3 linked regions of the Tribolium castaneum genome follow. Each later gene encodes a partner of the first gene's protein in a complex. Links are inferred from orthologs where the notes say so. Each region holds a gene or a part of one and is shown on either strand. Other genes may lie near its edges. The genes, in order: DNA replication complex GINS protein PSF1, Cdc45 and dpa.

Evidence for each region.
Region 2: the proteins of DNA replication complex GINS protein PSF1 (region 1) and Cdc45 are in contact, whole or in part, in a cryo-EM structure (PDB 6XTY), measured with the Homo sapiens proteins. The link is inferred for Tribolium castaneum from reciprocal best matches to the Homo sapiens genes GINS1 and CDC45. Residues at the interface, in NP_066545.3 of Homo sapiens: Leu146, Tyr147, Glu149, Arg151, Glu158, Thr165, Ser166, Val167, Leu168, Lys170, Lys171, Asn172, Ser173, Gln174, His175, Phe176, Leu177, Pro178, Leu195; in NP_003495.1 of Homo sapiens: Arg18, Gln37, Phe40, Gln41, His44, Val45, Gln46, Tyr47, Thr48, Leu49, Val50, Pro51, Glu64, His65, Gln68, Phe69, Thr394, Asp395, Ile398, Leu401, Asp402.
Region 3: DNA replication complex GINS protein PSF1 (region 1) and dpa share a complex: the UniProt entries of both Homo sapiens proteins name them as parts of the CMG helicase complex. The link is inferred for Tribolium castaneum from reciprocal best matches to the Homo sapiens genes GINS1 and MCM4.

What each region holds. Positions count from the first base shown.
Region 1 is NC_087400.1:16,460,460-16,462,881, forward strand, and holds DNA replication complex GINS protein PSF1, read right to left. Parts: upstream 1,475-2,422; 5' UTR 1,382-1,474; coding exon 1,310-1,381; intron 1,259-1,309; coding exon 1,194-1,258; intron 1,140-1,193; coding exon 686-1,139; 3' UTR 536-685; downstream 1-535. UniProt on the Homo sapiens protein: Required for correct functioning of the GINS complex, a complex that plays an essential role in the initiation of DNA replication, and progression of DNA replication forks.
Region 2 is NC_087401.1:7,775,189-7,777,896, forward strand, and holds part of Cdc45 (cell division control protein 45 homolog), read right to left. Parts: intron 1,786-2,708; coding exon 1,581-1,785; intron 1,534-1,580; coding exon 1,342-1,533; intron 1,292-1,341; coding exon 1,092-1,291; intron 1-1,091. UniProt on the Homo sapiens protein: Required for initiation of chromosomal DNA replication. Core component of CDC45-MCM-GINS (CMG) helicase, the molecular machine that unwinds template DNA during replication, and around which the replisome is built.
Region 3 is NC_087396.1:22,084,180-22,087,946, reverse strand, and holds the start of dpa (DNA replication licensing factor MCM4), read left to right. Parts: upstream 1-1,180; 5' UTR 1,181-1,338; intron 1,339-1,384; coding exon 1,385-1,831; intron 1,832-1,881; coding exon 1,882-2,079; intron 2,080-2,258; coding exon 2,259-2,493; intron 2,494-2,549; coding exon 2,550-2,792; intron 2,793-3,143; coding exon 3,144-3,372; intron 3,373-3,423; coding exon 3,424-3,767. UniProt on the Homo sapiens protein: Acts as a component of the MCM2-7 complex (MCM complex) which is the replicative helicase essential for 'once per cell cycle' DNA replication initiation and elongation in eukaryotic cells.

The sequences.
Region 1 (2,422 bases):
TTTTTTTATATAAATTTTGATTTGCAGGGGTTCATTTGAAATATCACAGCTCGTGAACCCTTTATAATAAGTGAATAATTCTTTTTGCATTTGATAGCCAAAGGTTTGAAAGATCTTCTAAAATCTTCTGTATTGTCAACCGTAAAACTGCCTTACTTTACATAATTCACAAAATTATAATGAAACATAATTAAATATTATTGTTTTACTGCTTATTTGATAATGAACCAGCTAAAAATTAAATAAGTTTGACAATTGTTGACCATTTTGCAAGTTCTACTTGATTAACTATGAAAACTGCGAAGTAGTGATTTAACTTCAAACTTGGCGCCAATTTTTTGTAGTTCCGAAAGCTCAGCCATTTTGAAAAAAAATAAGTTGAATTCAGAATAGTCGATTTAGATCGTGTACAAAATTTTAAAGCTCTAGCTATATTACAAGTTAAAAGTTACTAATGTAGGCCCTAACAGAATCACCGTGTATAACTCAGGTATCAATTTACTTACAAACACTAAAACATGGAATTTAATCAGAGTTGGCGACACTGGACGCTTTTATTTTACGAAATAAGATTAATTTAAGATTATGTTACAACTAATTATTTAGTATTGAATCACCACGTACAAAAATAAGGTAATTTAAATATTTTCAAGGACATTTGATGTTTAAAAAAAAGGCGCCAAATTCAAACAACGTGTTCAAGGACCCCTTGTCGTATTAATTCCTCGCATTCGCTTCTCGGTAAGTAATGACGACTGTTTTCCTTCAATAACAACACCGAACCATCGTTCAATTCAAACTGTCCATAATCCGTTAGACACCTGACCTCAATATACAAAGACTTTGGCGGTTTTAAATCCACAGCTAAATTAATCCCTTCATCACCAATTGATCGCATATATTGTACTAAATTGCTGGAATATTTCGAAAACCATTCAATTTCCGATTGACTTAAATTCGATTTAACATCTGGCGGTAAAATACTGCCGAATTGCCAGCGCATGTTTCTGAGACATTTTAACCGATTGTAGTGATAAGCCAGAATGCATCGAATGTTCCGTTTGATAGCCGCATGCCGTATTTTGACTGTAGGTAAATAAGAGGCGTGATTCATAACCCGACTATCTTCAGAAATTTGACTGAAAAAAAAAACGCTGAAGTATTGGTTTCGAGGATCAAGTGTGTAAACTTACGCATCTTCTTGGTTTTGAGTAATGAGTTGCTTGACTTCAGTGTTGATTTCATTGAGAAGATCAGTCTGAAAAAAAATTGTAAAATATTGAGTGAGGAACAATTTGGTAATTTTTACGTTGTAAGGCGGTAAAGCGTCCCGGTTTCGAGATAATTCTTTGATCAAAACGTGGGCTTTCTCACAAAACATTTCGATTTAAAATTTTGTCTAAATAGTTTTCTAACCTAAAAGCCCGCCAAATGACAGTAAAGGTGCATTTATAATGACAGGCCACAACTAAAGGCGGGTTTACACGAATCACGCGTATCCTTGTGTGATGTCACATCTACGGTAAGTTATGCTGCCCTACTACGCAAAAATTTCGTCACTACTTTTACGTATTTTTTGAGTTATTTCATGTTTCTTAAATTTTCTATGGTATCTTTATTTCATATAATTGAAGTATGAAATTTTGAACTTTAATAAACGATTTATTTGCAAAAATGATATTGGCACGTTATTTTATGCATATCTTTTTAGAGTGCTGTTTTTCAATATACGACAATTGAAATACAAATTTTCTTGAAGTTTCGAAGCAAAAAAGTCGTAACTACAAAAAACATTTTTTGAAGATAATTAAACAATTGATGGCAAAATATTCGTATAATAAATTAACGAAGAAGCAATCTAGATGGACAGTCAATGCTCTTACAAAGTGGCTAATAAGTATGGCTACAGCTAATTTTTTTATTAAAATGTGTTCTTTTACAGACAAAAGTGTTATTTAATAACCATTATTAACTTTAACTTATTTTTTGGTCAAAGTTCAGGCGGAAACGAGCTAACGTTAGATAAAGACAACATTTCCAAAGCAGAGAAAATTTTATTAGTTAGATATTTTTTTAATGAGATAAGCATGTGTTACATCAAGAACTAAAAAAATAAATTTGACCCTTCTTGCTGTGTAAAAAAAGTTAGCCTTGTATCCCCAGAAACAAAATTAATGTAAATGAAAATTTTATAGACATCTAAAACGATAGAATTTAAACAGTACTTTTAAGCAAATACAAGATTTCAATTAATTATTATTTAATATTTAACTGTATCCATACTTTTTAGCAACCAAGTATAAGAGTAATATTATAATATCTAATAATAACAATGAATACTTAACTAAATAGACATTTTTAATTTTATTTTTGGGGCAAATTGTTCCAAAAATTATGCTATTAAGAAATGAAATGGGACAAC
Region 2 (2,708 bases), on another chromosome or scaffold:
AAGCTCTAACTGTATTAAAAGTTGAAAAATATCCATAAAACTGTCCATAAATTGTTCATAAAACAAAATAGAAAACAAAATTATAGTAATACAATTGTATTTCAAATTTCACGTAAAGATGTCTGTACTTTTAATCGTTTTAATTATTAACCACAAAAAAGGTTTTATTAAAATTTTTGTTTATTAAATGTTTCAATTAGTGTAACCAGAATAAAAAAGTTATCAATGAACATTAAAGTATTTCATTTATGGAAATACCATGATTAAAATTTTGACCATTACTGCAAATAAGGTTCACTGGAAATATTTAACAACACCTACACAAGACCACAGTCACCACAAGAGATAACTTAAGACCAAATTTTTCCAATTCTTCTTCAAACTGATAACCATTTATAATTTTTTTTAAAACAAATGAAAGATTAAAAAAAATCAAGTTTGTCACGACGTTTTGACCCTTTAAGAGGGCAGAAAAATTGTCGATTTGTTTGCAAATTTAAATTATTAGTTCATTAATGCAAAATAAGTTCAAGAGTCGGTTTACAGAACATTTTAATTGCAATAAAAATTTTTCTGAGATTAACTTTACATTTGTCAATCTATTTTCAGTGGCAACTTAATGTCGAATTAGTTTTATTCCGAATTAAGTTTTAATTTCGCTTTCTGTAAAGTTAACCGGTTCTAAATGCCCAATTATTATTTCATTTTATTTACAATACCATTTCCAATTCATAAATTATTTAAGTAGTTAAATTGTCACTGCATTTTGTATCTGTTTAATTTTTATAAGTTGTTGAATTCAAAAAAGCGAACCCACAAAAAATAATCTCTTTTTTAAATTGAATTGCCACAAATTTTTTGGAAATGAAAAATTATAACTTTAAGAAAACTTGAAGCTTTAAAACTTTGCTTTAAGATTTTCGAACTCAATCCTTTCTTAATTTTTTTCTTTCCGCGATAAATCAATTATTTTGCAACAAAACCTTTTACTTTAAAAAACATATTAAACAGCAAATTAAAGGATTTATGATGGGATTGGTTTATGGTCGCGTCATTTTCTTTTTGGGCGGCTGTACGTTTAGTTTAGTTACTTTTTGGGTGAATTTTGCCTCAGCGGTGGAATCCCCAAAATAACACACGTCCCTAAATCTAGATTTTTTGGTGCTGAAATAATTAAAGGCAAGTCAGGGGCTTTACGATTCCGTGACATTGACACATAAGCCCGTAATATAAATTGTGCCAACAATAACAAAATATATTGGTTTGAAAACATATACCAGTCTAAACAACCCTATAAAACAAAAATTAAAATCAAACAACTTGACTAACAATTCAACTCACTTCTTGTATGATGTAATAAACAAAATTCCCGGCTGTGATAATTTGTTTCATATCAATGGCCGCTTGTACAGTCTTAAAAATCGTCTTTGTGATTATCTTTGCACGTTCTATTGCTTTTTGTACTACGTCTTTTTTATTACGAGTGAGGCAATCAAGTGCCGAATTAAAACACTCTTCTGGCGTTTCCTTCGGCTAAAAACAGCTATTTATGTGAGAGAATTATCAAAATGATAAATCACCGATGACTCCAAAATTGCAAACATGGCGTACACAATGTCAGACGCACAATATTTATTCCGGTAGCCATATTGTAACACAAATGAGGTAAAAACTAAATCTTCTAAGTTGTATTTTTCCGATAATTTTTCAATACTTTGGTGGAATTCTTTACGTAGTTGGAGATCCATTGATTCGAACGCCTGCTGGCTCTGCGATAAGGGCAACCTGCAAGTTGAGAATGAGCCCACCTTGTTGCCGCCACCCACCTTGGATCTTTTTTAAGGGAGAATCATTGAAAAGTATAAGCATGAGCTTTATAAATAAAATTAAACATAATTTATAAGCCGTTTGACTTATTAAGTATGTCTTACCTTTTTGGCACATCCTTGATTTTTTTAAGTAAAAATAATTTTAAATATTATGTACAAGGTGCGGCATTTCGGATGTGGTATCTCCGAAACTAAGAAGTTTAGAGAAAAAATATTGACACATTCTCGGGTCCGTTTTTTGAGAAAATAATTTTGGTAAAAACCGAATCCCGCTATCGTCTTTTGTTTTCAATTTATAAACAAAAGTTGACATTTTAGTGAAATCTTTAAAAATCATATCTTCCTTATTATAAAAGATACACATTTAAAGCAAAAACATTATACAGGCACAGAGAATCTAATAATGTTATCAGCGATTTTTGTAAACCTTTCGTTTAGCTGTAATAACTTAAAATTGTATGTTTTTAAATAGAAATCATAGTTGGCTGACATTTTCGAAAAGCTTATGTTTTTCTGAACTTAAAACAATATAAATACAGTTTGATACTTTTACATACTTTTGATAAAAAATAAATTTAAAATATTTAAAAGTAGTTGGTCATGGAAAAATTATTTTACATAGAAGGTGTAAATAAACTAGAAATTTTGTGAACGGTTATTAAAGTAAAAAATGTGAAATTATCAAAATAAGCTATGTTAAAGTTATTTTCAATTAAACAAATATACGATCGTCGCAGATTTTAATTACATAAAAAATGTGAAGAAAATTAAAAATATGTCACTACCATTTGATGACACTTTTTTATGATTTAGTGAAGTGGAATGGAACAAATAATACACAATTTCGCATCCTACAAATCACCATTTCATACTAGTTTC
Region 3 (3,767 bases), on another chromosome or scaffold:
AAACTTATGAAAATGTTACTAGCTTCAAGGAAATCATTGTTGTATAGGCCGTTTTTGTCAAATGCGTTTTGCCTACTGAAAGTTTTTGTATTCGCTTCATTTATACGAGTGTTATTTTTGTATATTTTGTACATAAACCTAGGTAATGAAAATAAATGTGATAATTATAAATTATCTGAAGGATACGTCGATGTATCATTTTTTTCAAAAATAAATGCCAAGTCTGTTACTTAAATACGACTTTTTATATATCGTATAAGAGATTATATCAGAATTTGTACATGTTGTATATAACTGTATATAAATAACTATTTTGCCTTGTAAATATTACCTACCTTTAATTAAATCGAGTGTTCACGACTACATACCTACATTTTTTGTAATTATTTGAAGGGTGTAATGGTTATTCGTTATCCAATCAAATTTCATCTGTGAAAATTTAAATATAAATGTATTGAAAAAACAATGTTTTATTTCACCCATACCAATTTTTTTTACCTTCCACAAATTTTAGCAAAATAATGGTATGTGCCTGATGAAATTTATTACATAACATTTTGATATTTTACTATTTAATGGTAAAAATCATTTTCTCTGAATAAAATTTTATTAACTTAGTAAGTAGTCCGTTCACTGTAGAATTACACGTTCGTAATGTTGGTTGCATACCATTCATTTTTTCTATGTAGGGTTAAATTCATGATAAAAAATTCAATTTTGGGGCCTTATATTGCTATCTTTATTGTTATATCTTTAATAGAAAGGTTTAAATGCTGTAGTGCATAAGATGCATAAGATTTTCACAATGTCCGAATTTGAGAAATACGGGGAGCTCAAGCACAAGAACATCAAAATTTTGACCTTAAATTAATAACAAAATGTGAAACCTACCTTTTTCTCGATCTGGAACACACCCAACACCAATTCTGCACGATTTTTCACCAAAAAAAGTCTTAAGCAACAAACACCAACAAATTTTCACAACAAACAATAAAGCCACTTGATTTTTAAAACAAAATTCTGTGCGCATGCGGCTTTGTAGCTAAGGCAACTCCAAGCAGCCTTGAAAATAATGTAATAACGTAAACTTTATAAAATTCGGTTTTAACAGAATTTTTATCTACAAATCAACATTGTTACAAAGTTTTAATTTTACAAACAATGGGGTAAACAATCATTAAAACCACGTTGAAACTTTAGCCACTATTAACAAAGCGCGCGTCATCTGCAACCTCTTCCACGAACTACTTAGCGTTTTCCCGCCTTTTTTACAGCAACAACAGTTGGTTAATTGTGTAAAAAAACATTATCAACACATTTTTTGTTGTTTTATTTACGGTAAGTGATTAAATCAGCGATAACTCCACCTAAAAACCCAAATTAGATGTCTTCCCCAGCCCCCCATCGTACCCCTCGCGCAAACCGCGACGATGATGCGCCCACTCCTCGGGGACGCAGACCTGCCGGGGGTCAAACCCCTCGAGGTCACCGCACCCCAGCTCGTGAGGACCCTCCCCAAACCCCATCTCGGACCCCCAGACGGAACCCAACTCCTGCCAAAAGCGACACCATTGATACCCCAATGCGTTGGGGCGGAGCCCGACGTGATTTGGACGCCGACGGCGGGGAAATCCCCTCGTCTCCGGCTGGGGTCACAAGCCCACCGGTGGCAATGAGCGAGATTGATTTATCTTCGCCACTTAATTACGGGACTCCTTGCTCTTTGGGGTCCATCAGGACCCCCAGATCGGGGATTAGGGGGACCCCAATTAGGATGCGGCCCGATGTGAGGACTGATCGGAGGATGAGACAAGTTAATGTCGGAGGAGAGGTTCAACAACTGTTTCAAAAATTGAGCTCGTTTTGACTCGATTTTTTTAGTTGGATCCGGTTGCTGAGGGTGATGAGGGCAGTACAGCCCCGCATTTGGTCATTTGGGGCACTAATGTCTCAGTTGCTGAATGTAAAGAGAAGTTCAAACAGTTTGTTTTGCGGTTTATTGATCCAAATGCGGAAGAAGATGAAAGAACTGATGATATGAATGTTAACGAACCCTTGTATTTTCAAAAATTGGACGAGGTGCGAACCTTATCATGATCAAAGAGGCGTTGACTTTGTTATTACGTTGGCAATGCTATCAGATTTAAGCGTCAGACAAATTTAAAAAAAACAATCGTATTTGTCTTTTTTATCTGTTGCCAACTTAATTTCAAAATCATTGATCACAAACTTGATCGTGTAGCAATTATTTTTCGTAGATAAACACCCTCGAAGAGCCGTTTTTGAACGTCAACTGTTCTCACATTGAGACTTTTGACGCCAATTTATACCGCCAATTGGTTTCGTATCCTCAAGAAGTCATTCCAATTTTTGACATGATGATCAACGAAATGTTTTACGAGCGTTATCCTGCTGCTGAATTGGAGCACCAGATTCAAGTCCGGCCCTTCAATGCGGAAAAAACACGAAATATGAGGGCCCTGAACCCTGAAGGTTAAATTCCTTCCAAAAAAAAATCTTTTAATATAAAATTTTATTTTTTTGCACAGATATTGATCAGTTGATCACAATCACTGGCATGGTCATCCGTACATCGAATTTAATGCCTGAGATGAGAGAGGCATTTTTCAAATGTATAGTTTGTAACTTTACAACGACTGTGGAAATTGACAGGGGGCGCATTACCGAACCCACTCTTTGCACCAGTTGTAACACCAATCACTGCTTTACTTTGGTCCACAATCGGTCGCAGTTCACCGACAAACAGATGATCAAATTGCAGGAATCCCCGGGTATTTTTTTAATTTATGTTTTCTCCTCGGATTTATTTTTATTTTTTATTCTTAACCATTCTACAAGATGATCCCAGTTTATCTTCATCCATGATATTTCTTCTTTTCTAATTTATTTCAACTTTTTTATATTTTACACTGAAAAAAATTGTTTGAACTATAAGAAAAAATTTATTTTTGTCGCCAACCTCGGGAAGAATTGAAGATTTTTTATTATCTATCTTCTATTTAATCCACACTTAACACTTACCCACTTAACTAAACGTTACAGTTACATAAAAAAAACGTTTTCTAGTTAAATCATAAGCACAATTTTTTATTTTTTTTTATTATTATAATGTTTTTGGTCAGACGACATGCCTGCGGGCCAAACCCCGCACACCGTCGTCCTCTTCGCCCACAACGACCTGGTGGACGCCGTCCAACCGGGCGACAGGGTCACCGTAACGGGGATTTACCGAGCGCAACCCCTTCAAGTGAACCCCCGACAACGCAACCTTCGCGCGGTTTACAAAACACACATTGACGTCCTCCACTTCCGTAAAATCGACACGAAACGCTTATACGAAGAGGAGGACGGGTAAAAACACCACAGTGAAAAAATAACTCACTTCCCCTCTTATTCTTCCAGCAAAGACCATCGTTTTCCACCCGAACGGATCGAATTATTACAACTCCTTTCAGAAAAAGAGGATATTTACGAACGGCTAGCTCACGCTTTAGCGCCGTCGATTTACGAAAACGCCGACGTCAAAAAAGGGATTCTCTTACAACTGTTTGGCGGAACGAAGAAAAAATTTGTTACGTCAGGTCGTACGAATTTTCGGTCCGAAATCAATATTTTGCTGTGTGGAGATCCGGGAACCTCCAAGTCACAACTTTTACAATACGTTTATAATTTGGTTCCCCGAAGTCAGTACACTTCAGGGAAAGGCTCCTCAGCTGTTGGTTTAACAGCCTATGTGACCAAAGACA